3 linked regions of the Coturnix japonica genome follow. The protein of the gene in region 2 interacts with the protein of the main gene of each other region in a pairwise test. Links are inferred from orthologs where the notes say so. Each region holds a gene or a part of one and is shown on either strand. Other genes may lie near its edges.

Region 1 (3,747 bases), on a different chromosome or scaffold from region 2:
AATAACATGGAAAATAATGTTATAAATGACTAGTACAGTCAAGCTTAAAGCAGGGAGATTTAGGTTAGATAAGAGGAAACAATCTTTTACAGTGAGGGTGGTAAGGCAGTGGAACAGGTTATGTAGTGACGTGGTTGATGCCCCATCTGTGGAGACCTTCAAGGTCAGACTGGATAAGGCCCTGGGCAACCTGATCTATCTGTGTTGTCCCTGTTAATTGCAGGGGAGTTGGACTAGATGGCCTCCAGAGATCCCTTCCAACTCTAAGGCTTCTGTGACTCTCTGCTTAAGTATTTTCTTAAAAGAGGCAAAAGAATTGGAAAGGCCCAAAGAAAAGCAACAAAGTGTCAAAGAAAAGTCTGAAGGAGAATAAAATTCAAGTCTGTGAAATAAAGGAAATGACAAATGCCAATAGAGATGACTATTACTCAAGGTCTCAAATCTGACTTCTAATCCTGGAAGCTAACAATAGATCAACTTCAAACAACAGCATCAAAATACTAGGCTAGAGAGAGCATTCTCCTCTTCCAGTGTTTCTTTAAAGGATTAACAGGGTTGACAGGCCAAAATGATTCTGCAACATGGAAATGCCGTACTGCTCTGTACCTGTGTCGGTGGCCGAACTGTCGGTGGGAAGGGTCTGCAGGGAGCGGCTGAGGTTAGTCTTCATGTCCTGGCTCAGTAAGCGAGAGGAGGATCCCAACCAATTTGGCTCTTCCCAGCTTCTCTTTCCTGACTGGTTCAAGCGAGTGGGGCTGCTGGGAGCACTGATTGCACGATCATACATCTAAAGGAACATCAACAAGCACAGTTTGAGTTGACAAGAGCCCGGTGTTTTTGTGTTTCTTCCCCCATCTAGTGCCAACATCCCATGTCTTTTCTCTTCCCTCCCCACATCATCAGCTCACCCGTTTGACAGCCAGCGTGGCAATGCCCAGCATGGCAGCTCCACCCACGCCCAACACAAGCCGTGCGTTGGACAGCACAAAGTCGATGGCGGTGCCAATGCCATTGTCGTCCTTTTTGCCTTTGCGCGGCCCAGCGCCCGCCATCTCACCTGGAAGGGAGCATCAAACAAATGGGTCACAACAGGGCAACTCTAACTGATGCTTCTTAGCCAAAGCAAACCCATTCTACACCAATTTATCCTCTCATCCTCCATCTAAGGCCTGCAACTTCGCTCATGGATATGGCTGCATGGACTGCCAAACTCTTGTCTTTGATAAAATATCAAGAGCTTCAGAGTGTCCACTCTCAGACAGTGGCTGGCACCAGGTGTTTCAAAAACATCCAGGGGTCAGCACTGCAAACCACAGTGCACCACAAAGGGAACAACTCCTCGCTTCCACCTGATAGTTACTCCTGCACTCAAGGCTGCTGGGTTTGGTTTTCATGTAAGTCCCATATAACAGAAATGTTAATGTTCTCCCAAACTGATTCAAGATCACAATTCTGAGGCAAAAACAGCTGAAGGGGCAGAACCTGCCTGAATTTGTCTTTTCTAAAGCCAAGTTACTATTTAAAAACTAACATTCCTACTGCATCTGATCAGAGTTACATCAGCATAAGGGACCTACCTGCGACCTAAAGCATTTGTAGAGAGGAGAGCCCTCCTGGTGCGGCTGTGGAGGCACCTTCTGGCCAGTTTCAAGGTAGCAGCGGGCAGGAAGCAGCCATCGTGCCGTGACAGGTAAGAGGGTGTTTTAGAAAGAAGAGTGTGTGTTTGGGGGGGGGGGGGGGGGGGCTATTACACCAGCCCCCCCAGCTTGCTCTGCAGGAAGGCCTGCCCCTTCTCCAGCTGCCTCTCCTTGTCCTCCAGCCGCTGCAGCCCCCGGTTCTTGCGAAACTCCCGGCGGATGGAAGCCAAGTAGAAATCCCGGTCAGTGTAACGCAGCCCGCGGCCCTCGCGCAGCAGAGCCCGGTAAAGGGTCAGGACGGCCTGCCGGGACCACGCTGCCATGGGGAACGGCCGGCCGACCGAAAGAGGGGGAGGCTGGGGCCGCTGCTCCCTTCCCGGAGGGATGTTCCGGAGCTGCCGGGGCCGCGAGCTCGGCTACGACGGACCCAGCGGGACCCCGCGGCCTGGTCCTCCCGCAGGCAGCGGGAAGCGCCGTGAGAAACACCCGGGGCCTCACGGCACCCCCATCCTACAGCCGCCGCTCGCGGGGTCACCCAGCAACATGGCCGATCCGCCTCCGGGTCGTGACCCCACGACCAGCCAATCCCAGAGCGGCCGGGACGAGGCCGCTAACGCTCTCCGCGCGGAGGACTTCCGGCCTGAACGGGAGGAGATGGCGGCGAAACGCTGCTACCCCCTGGCGGCGGGGCTCCGACGTACGGGGAGCGGGAAGGGACACAACGCGCCGGCAGTGCGCCCCCTGCCGGCCGGGAGGAGCACACACACCCAGTTCTCCTCCCAGTTGAGACTGGGAATGAATGGCACGGGCTGTGTCCTTCAATCGTCTGCCACAACAGCACCCCCAGGGCAGCCTGCTCCACTGATCAACACTGCCAGAGAAAAGCTGTGTGTGACAGAGGAGAGCCGCATCACTTTGCACTGTCCTTAACGACAACAGATATGACAGTGATAGCACTGAATGGGAAGAAAACCAGAAGCTCCGGTCTGGCTCGGTCTGTGCCGACCTCCTCTTGTTCATTTCCTTTCCGAGATAAACAGCCCCAATCATTTTGATCTCTCTTTGTGAGCGACTTGGCCATGCCCCTAATCAGCCCTTTCCGAGAAAGGCTTGAGTGAACTGCAGACAGTATTCCCAGAGAGGCCATGCTGCTGATTTACATAATAGCATTATCATATTTTCCATATTATTCTCCTCTTCTCCCTTCTGCATGCTGATGTTTTGTGTGTGCTCTTTTTTAACCTGCATCCACTCACAGAGCCCAGATCTGTGTGATATTCATACCCTTCCCCGAGTTGCTACAGTCAATCTGGGGCTTCATAATATCTCTTTAATTTCTTACTTGGCATTTGACAAAGTTAAACCTCATCAATCGCACCTTATTGCACATTTGCCACATTTGCATTTTACTTACAGTCCTTTCCGATCTCCTATAGAGTCTATAGCTTTGAGTCATCATTTAAAAATGCTTAGTATATTGCTCATCCTCTTTTTTTTCTCCTCATCATCTGCTTAGACTCTGAGCTATATGGCACATCAGAGGCAGCCTTTAGATTCCCTATTCCTATATCCATATTCCCTACCCTTAACCTTGTACCAGAACCAACACTGATTTTTGAACTCTCCATTCAGATTCCTCCCCGGGTTGCCACATAAACACTTTGCTCCTTGCAGCAGTTCTCTGAACAGGTGCACTGATAAGCCCAGTCCCTGAAACACCAAAGTCTGGATCAAAGCATTCACAGCTACACGTGGCGAACCCCTGTTGCAGTACAAATGGTATCAAACTGCTCCGAGATGTACAGCAGGGTGGGCTTTGAACCAGTGGTGCTGTGTCAGGTGATTCCAGCCCTGCTCCCCATGCTCTCCTTCACCCCACCGAGTCCCATGCAGAAGATGTCAGACTGTGCTTCCTCTCAGGATCCTCCTGCATGTACCGAGTGTGAGAGCAAAGGTGTGACCATGGCACAGGAGAGCAAGACCTCCCTCCTCTGAAGCACAGCTTGTTTTGAGCTGCGTAGAACATGCCAAATGTGCTGACCTTCCCAGGCAAGGTTGCTCTTACGGACTTTCAGGGACTTTCTGTCCCTTCTTGCTTTGGGAGCCAAGG
Region 2 (3,747 bases):
AAGAAGATGGCTGTTATAAACAGGGCAGGAAAGGAATTCATAGCTGTACACTGTGGGTTGGGGTTGGTCGTTTAGTTAACAACTTCCCCAGCTCTAAAATGGGAAAAGCCTTCAGAACAAGAGGCGAAGGAGTCCCAATTCTGAATCATAGGCTCCTTAAGGATGGGGAAGAGCTCTGTGATCAAGTCCAACCCAACCCACCCCACTATGCCCACATCCCTCAGTGCCACATCTCCACACTGAACACCTCCATGGATGGTGACCCCATTGCTCCCTGGGCAGCTGCTCCTTCTTTATTGTCCCTAATACCCAACCTGCACCTCCCCTGCTGTGTCTTAAGGCCATACTGTTGCTGTTACAAAGTTCAAGGGCTGAGCCCACCTTGCCACAACCCCCTTTCAGGAGCTGTGAGAGCAATGAGGTCTCTCCCCCAGCCTGACCCATCTCCTTCCCTCAGCTGTTCCCCATAACACTGCGCTCCCACACACAGCTCCATTCCCATCCCTGGACACACTCCATATCCTCCATATCTTCCTCGTCTAACACCTCACAGCCTGACAGCTGAGACAAAAACCCCAACGAGGTTCCCCTCCATGTTGGGATCCACCCCCGGGGCAGGGCGCTGAGGGAGGCGGTGTCCCGGCCGCTCCCGCCTTCCTTCCCTCCTTTGGGCGGCCCCGGGGAGCAGCCCCACGGTGGGAGTCACGGGGCGGGCGGGCCGCTGCCATGGAGCTGCCTGCCGTCAGCCTCAAGGTACGGGGGGGGATATGGGGCAGAGCCTATGTGGGGCTGAGCTGTTGTGGGGCGAGGTGGGTCGGCTGGGAGAAAAGAGTACGGGGGTGGGCGTTGAGGCTGGTATGGTGCCTTGTGTGGAGGCGTGGGGGTGTTTGTGGAGGGAGAAGTGGCTGTTTCTGCCTTTTGTGGAGGGGTTTTTAGTAGGGGTTGTCGCCCAGGTGGGCCCCCCCTCGGCCTTCTACCTCCCAATTCCCCCCTCCATCCCCCAACTGTGATCCTTAATGGGTTTCTGAGGAGGCGAAGTTGGTGCTGGTCAGGGAACTCACCTCAGGAAGGTGACGGCTTTGTGGGCTTGTATAGACCGACAGAAACTGCTGTTCTGTGTTTTAACTTAATTTCTAGGGGGGGAGGGCGTGGAATGAGGGAGGCTGTAAACTTTTGTGCGATGTTTAGTAGAGAAACGGGAAATAAAAGGACTTCGGAAGTTACCCGTTAACTTCAGGAGGAAGCAGCTCCTCACACAGAGGCTGAAATCGGCCCCCTTTGCTCTTCATGTTGCTCGTGAGACTGAAGCCTTTTAGACTCTTTCCCCTGTTTTTCCTCCATTAGTTATACTTTCAGAGCCTTCTAGGGTGATGTGCTGCTTGTTTCCCAGCTTCCCTGTTGGGGTTTTGGGTGCGTTGCTGAAAGCTTTGCAGTTTGGTTGCAGGAGCTAGAAGAAAAGAGATGCTTCATGAATGAACGAGTCACCATGACAACATAAGTAAAATGTTGCATTTCCTCCCTGCTTTTTAGCAAGCATTCTTAAATCTCCTCCTGGGTAAGAGTGATTTTGACCTGGCCAAAGTGTTCTCAGCATTGGGAAGTACCTTTTGTAAAGTACTGGTTAGGGTGGTGTGGTGCTGAAATGGGTTACCCAGAGTAGTTATGGATGCCCCATCCTTGGAGTCATGTTGGATGGGCCCTGAGTTAGTGATTAGCAGCCCTGCCCATGGCAGGGCATTGGATCCAAAAGATCTTTCAGGTTCTCTCCAACCTAAGCCATGCTGCGTTCTGGGATTCAAGGGCTGTAACACAGTGAGTTAATAATTGTCCTGCATCTTTGTGCTGTCTCTGAGTCGTGGCCTACTGCTCTGAAACACAACCCAAAGGTTGGCAAGGTTCTCATTCAGAGAGGGATTGGGAATAACACACTACTTCTATGCATTGGCGTTAACTGGTTACAGTTTCTCTGTGATCAGATGGATAAACCTAATGACAGAAGAAGAAAACTTCCAAAGACCTGCGTGAATGCAGCATTTGTGCCAGATTGTAGCAAAGTCTCAGCCTTGAGGTCCCTCTTTAACCCGCAGGTAGGACTGTAGCATTAATATGGCAGGCCTTGACCTGCAGTAGATGAAGAATTCACTCATGGAGCAGCATCTACTGGCTCAGCTCTGGTAGTAATGCTCAGCAAAGTGTGGAAAGCAGCATCACCTTATTATTGCAGTGAGTGTTTGATGGCTAGGATTGTTGCAATAGCTATTCTGAATCTTGAAATATCAAGTTTGCTTGAGCTTGGAAAAGGCCCTACAATGAATATGCCTGAAATCAGATGTTTTGTTCTCGGGTGTTTTTATGTGCTAGCTCTGGAATCCTAGCATCATTTTGATTGGAAGAGACCTACGTATGTCACCTAGCCCAGCCTCCTGCTCAAAGCAAAGCTAACTTGAAAAGTAGATCAAGTAGATCAACTCAAAGAGTTGGCAACCACTTTGGAGATTATCTAGTGCTGCTCCCCTGCTAAAGCAAGCACCCCAAAGGAGGCTGCAGAGGAAAGCATCCAGGTGGGTTCTGAATACCTCCAGGCAGGCAGAATGAGTTCCTGTACCAAAGAACTCTTCAAAAAAGCAATGTATGCTCTTAGGTATGGATATATCCCCCTGAACAGATGGGAATGAATTCTTCTGTCTCACCAGGAGGCTGCCTGCAAATTATCTCACGTAATGACTGCAGCTTTAAATAATGTTTTTCATTAACACTCCGTTTTCTGTGTGAAAGCATACCGAGACCATCAGCCAATTCCATAGTGCCCTGAAGAGCTGTCAGATAACTCAGACTAATAGCTCGGAAGGAAATGCTTTGTTTTTCTTCCAGCAGCCCCCTGGATTACCAGCCCTTGCTTACCTGACGTTATGCTGGTGATGGAGCCAGCTTCTTAATTTAATAACTGCAATATTGATCTAGACAGCTTAATATATATATATATATAATAAAACCCACTCTGCGTAATTATATTAACTGCTGAGCCTTGAGGGGTCTTGTGAGTGCATAACGTGCAATTAAATACTACCTAATTAAGAATTTCCCTGATGTTGTGATCGTCTCTTGGGTGAATGCTATTTGCATGTCTCCGTTCTTATCCAAGAACATCTTGTATTTTCCTGATTAGCAGTTTCTGCCTGGTCTCTGCGGTGCAATCTGGGAGGAGGGGGAAGCAGCGGGTGGTGCTGGAGCATTTTGTAGGCTTTCATGAGCAATTAAAAAAAATAGTCATTATTAAAAACCTGTTTGAGCAGCGTTTGATGTTCAGGCGGTCTGTGCTGAATGCTCAGCAGATGTGATAGGGTGCTGCAGTGCAACCAGGGCTTTGCCTTATGATAAGATATCTATGTTGTGATATCTTGGCTGGACAGTCCAAGCCATTGCAGCTGCATCGCTCCTTCTGGTTTCACTCACGTCACAGCTTCATGGGTCATTAACTTTCCTGAAGCCACGAGTTCTGTGTGAAGTTAGAGCAGGTGTAGACATTTTGAGTCAATAAATGTGACAGTATTTGGGCACTAGTGTTGTCCCTGGAAGTGAAAAGAGTGGTGTAGCATGGCAGGATTGGGTCTTTAGGTTCCTAGAAGATGACTTCAGGTCTGTTAATATTGGAGCGAGGCAGGTTGGAAGGGGGTAAAGGGGAATTCACAGTGAAAATGCTGGGAGCTGCAGTCATGACAATTCATGGACTTCTTGGTGGTGGGATAG
Region 3 (3,647 bases), on a different chromosome or scaffold from region 2:
TTAAGCTTACAAATAGAGTATTTAAGTCCTGAAGGTATGTTTTGTGCTATGCCAGACTTGCTGTAACTTACATTGGCTCTTAGAACAATATGACCACATCCATGATATCAGAGCTTGAACACTAAGCCAGCTGTTACAGTCTGAAAGATTAACACAGCAGAAAGGCGATATAGAAATGAAATAGCAAAAGGGACTAGCATGAAATGAGATAATGTTACAAAAGAAAAAGCACTCACCTGTCTCTGAAGATGTAGGCTCACAAGGGAGTGATCTCCGACCAGGGATCTTTCCCCCCCTGGCAGTCAGCCCTTAAACGGGGTCTAAGAGAGGTGCAGCCAGGCTCCACCTCTTCCAGTCTCACAGCTTCATTGCTTTCACCTGTGCTCCCCGGGCTGGCCAGGTCCTTTCCCAGGTGCTCAATCAGTGGTTCAGGCTGGGACTCAGCAGTTCCTATAAACCAGCAGATTGCTTCTTTCCTGGATTAGCACAGCACCTCTCTTTATAACAAGTTAGTTTCTCTTGTAGATCATCTTTTCTGGTAAGCTGAAGAATGTAACTACTGAAAGTGACTTTAGATCCTGGACATCAGAACTCATACACTTTCACATAATATCTAGGAGGCCTATTTGACAGAGTTTAAACTTCATAACCTTGTAGTTATTATTAGCAGGGTTGTTGGGTTTTTTTTTGTCTTTTCCATCATAATCTGAGAGTCATGCTTGCCTGATGTACATTAACTGTTGACTTCTTGTATGCTTTTTTGTGCAGATGATGACAGCAGCTCAAGCCAGTCTCTGGAAAACGATGAGACCAGGTAGAGTCTTGATTCCTCTTTGGTTTTGTTCTGTGTGTTCCAGCAGTGTCCAGAAAGAGAATAGTCATACTCATCTCAATGATGTGGCTCGTGTCTTGTTGCAGTAAGCACAGCCAGTGAGAGAGATTTTTGTATAGCTGATCTATGGTAACGCATTCCTTAACCAGAAGATGGATGTATAAGAACTATGCAGGATGATATTACTACAGCCTGCTTCTCTCTATTTCCTTTTGCAGTTACTACACACCAGAAGAAAAGGAAGACAAGAAAGGACAGGAGAAACAAGCCAGCACAGGGGTAAGCTTGTTATTTAGATGTATGTGGAGTATGGATGCATATTCAAAACACACTTCCAGTTTTATACATGAACAAGACTTTGTGTAATCCCCTAGCAAATTTGCTTGCTAGCTTGACTTCTTTTTGTCTAACTGAGACAGTGTGGAGATGAAAGCTCAGAGGAGGCCTCCTTTGAATTGCACCTGGCACCTGTTCAGACCAAAAAACCATCTGTCTATGATGTGGAAGAAAAGAAATTCCCAAGACCTAAAAAAAGAGAAATCTTTCCTCCGCTCACAGAGGTACCACAATTATCAGTCTGTTGTTCAAATTAGAAAGCTAGAATTAGAACATAGGTTAGTGTGCTCACAGGTTCTTTCCCATTCAATTGCTTGCTTCAGGCCATGGAGAGAGAGATCATGGCTGCGCTGGGCGAAGGTAAAGGGGAGGAGATCATGAGCAGCGCCTTCAGACTCAGTCTCACCCGTGATGACATCCATACACTGAATGAACTTTGCTGGCTAAATGATGAGGTAAAACTAGCTGTGGCACTGTGATGTTCCCATTGTGTATGTCTTTTTAAATGTCCTCAATGCATACAGGTCTGATTGCAGTTATTTGAGGTCTGCAGAACTTATAAACATCTGTCGAGTCTTATTTTAGGTACATAACGGCTGAGTGTTTCTAGAAGCTCCTGTATTTCTTGGGTTGGTCTAGAAGTTAGTCTTCTGGAAGCATTGCTTCTCTGGTTTTGTGCTTTTTGGTTTTTATTTTGGTGAGCAGTCTCTTACATCTCATGATTGCTTTTTACCATGCAGGTCGTTAACTTCTACATGAATCTTCTGGTGGAAAGAGGCAAAAAAGATGACTATCCAACCGTCTATGCTTTTAGTACTTTCTTCTATCCCAAACTTGATTCTGATGGCTACAGAGCAGTGAGAAGATGGACCAGAAACGTGAATCTGTTCAACCAGGACATCATTTTGATTCCTATTCACCTGAGATCACACTGGACCTTGGTGGTGAGTCATGCTTTTATTTCAATTGAAGAATTAAGCAGGTAGAAAGCAAGCAAGCAAGAAATGTCGGCCAGCTTTTGTTCTGTTTGCTGCATAGGCTTGTGGGGTGTCTCATGGTTACTTTCCATTAACAGGTTGTCGATGTCAGAAAGAAAACTATCACCTACTTTGACTCGTTTGGAAAAAAAGGAAACAAGATTTGTGAGACTGTACTGTAAGTAACTGCTCGCTCAGTGCTTTTGCACTGTGAGCTCAGAGAAGGCTTTTAGGTTTCTGTATCTGTAACACAACTGGAAGCCTTTGCTTTGTTTGTAGCTAGGGAATAGAAACCGTTCTCACATCACCTCCTCCATGTGTGATACATGTCTGGGTTTCCAGTATGTGCATGTGCAAAGCATCACCATGAAGTGTATGCAGACTTAAAGTTTGAATTGCTCCTCCAAATGCCTTATGGCACTAAATATCCACTGATGTTTTATTGTCCAGCCATTTGGCTTCCTGTGGTCTTTTCAGCATCTCTTTTTTGTCAGCCTAAAATACAGAGGTGAAGAGTTGTTTTATTTTGTTTTAAACAGCCAATACCTGCAAGAAGAAAGCTGGGAGAAACAAAAAGTCAAGCTGTCATCTTCAGAGTGGACTCTTCGCAGCATGGAGCCTCATGTATGTGAGCACTACCGGGATCTGAAATGTGAACCCCTAACTCCTCATTACAAAGGCCTTAATGCTTTCTTACTTAGTCTAAGCTTTAAAGGGGTGTGAAGGTGTGGTTCACTGGGTGTACTCCTTGTGTGTGGGGATGGGCTGTGCATGTTGGTTCCACAAGAAAATGTGGTGGTGGTGGTGGGTGGTGCTGCCTCCAAGTCGCTTTTCTTTTAAGATGGAAAAAATTCTCCACCTTCTTTCCATTCTTTAGGAAATTCCTCAGCAATCAAATGGAAGTGACTGCGGAGTTTTTATGTGCAAATACGCAGATTACGTCTCCAGAGACAAACCCTTCACCTTCACTCAGGTGAGCCAAAGTTAGAGTTTGCCTTAAGCTGTTGTTAATAGTCAAATAAACGTGGTTGTGTTTCATCCCTGCAGCACCAAAGCGGGGGTGAGACATAGCAGTCCACGCTGTACTCACAGTGGCCGCGGTGACGGTGCTTAAAATGAACTTGGTGTGAAAGAACACGGTATGTATTTTCTGTCAATTTCTGCTATCATATTTAATGGGTTTGTTCTCTTCTTCTTTTCAGGAAAACATGCCTTACTTCCGCAAGAGGATGGTGTGGGAAATAATCCACCAGCAGCTGCTGTGAGACGTGAAGCGTTACGAGTATCGCCGCAGATGACCTCGGAGCCACTAACTTATATTTTGTCATATTATTTATTTCTGCGATGCCTTATTGAACCAGGCCGCAGCCACTTGAAAATGTTCCTGTTTTAAGCTATAAAGTATTGTTTAACTGTTTTTTCCTCAATTTCGGAGACAGTGCCTCTCTTTGAAATGAGCTGATGTGCCTTGAGTGAAAGTCTTTGAGAGTTTGCTGGGACTT

The links.
Region 1: the proteins of AGTRAP (region 2) and MIEF1 interact in binary tests that used the Homo sapiens proteins (3 or more experiments, as listed by UniProt). The two-hybrid records come from large-scale screens. The link is inferred for Coturnix japonica from reciprocal best matches to the Homo sapiens genes AGTRAP and MIEF1.
Region 3: the proteins of AGTRAP (region 2) and SENP2 interact in binary tests that used the Homo sapiens proteins (3 or more experiments, as listed by UniProt). The two-hybrid records come from large-scale screens. The link is inferred for Coturnix japonica from reciprocal best matches to the Homo sapiens genes AGTRAP and SENP2.

What each region holds. Positions count from the first base shown.
Region 1 is NC_029516.1:46,186,689-46,190,435, forward strand, and holds the start of MIEF1 (mitochondrial dynamics protein MID51), read right to left. Parts: upstream 2,261-3,747; 5' UTR 1,578-2,260; intron 1,058-1,577; 5' UTR 1,053-1,057; coding exon 909-1,052; intron 788-908; coding exon 607-787; intron 1-606. UniProt on the Homo sapiens protein: Mitochondrial outer membrane protein which regulates mitochondrial fission/fusion dynamics.
Region 2 is NC_029536.1:4,903,918-4,907,664, reverse strand, and holds the start of AGTRAP (type-1 angiotensin II receptor-associated protein), read left to right. Parts: upstream 1-884; 5' UTR 885-1,976; coding exon 1,977-2,087; intron 2,088-2,361; exon of another isoform or gene 2,362-2,561; intron 2,562-3,747. UniProt on the Homo sapiens protein: Appears to be a negative regulator of type-1 angiotensin II receptor-mediated signaling by regulating receptor internalization as well as mechanism of receptor desensitization such as phosphorylation.
Region 3 is NC_029524.1:3,359,033-3,362,679, reverse strand, and holds part of SENP2 (sentrin-specific protease 2), read left to right. Parts: intron 1-768; coding exon 769-814; intron 815-1,050; coding exon 1,051-1,111; intron 1,112-1,251; coding exon 1,252-1,392; intron 1,393-1,491; coding exon 1,492-1,623; intron 1,624-1,908; coding exon 1,909-2,112; intron 2,113-2,243; coding exon 2,244-2,323; intron 2,324-2,684; coding exon 2,685-2,769; intron 2,770-3,022; coding exon 3,023-3,118; intron 3,119-3,347; coding exon 3,348-3,410; 3' UTR 3,411-3,647. UniProt on the Homo sapiens protein: Protease that catalyzes two essential functions in the SUMO pathway.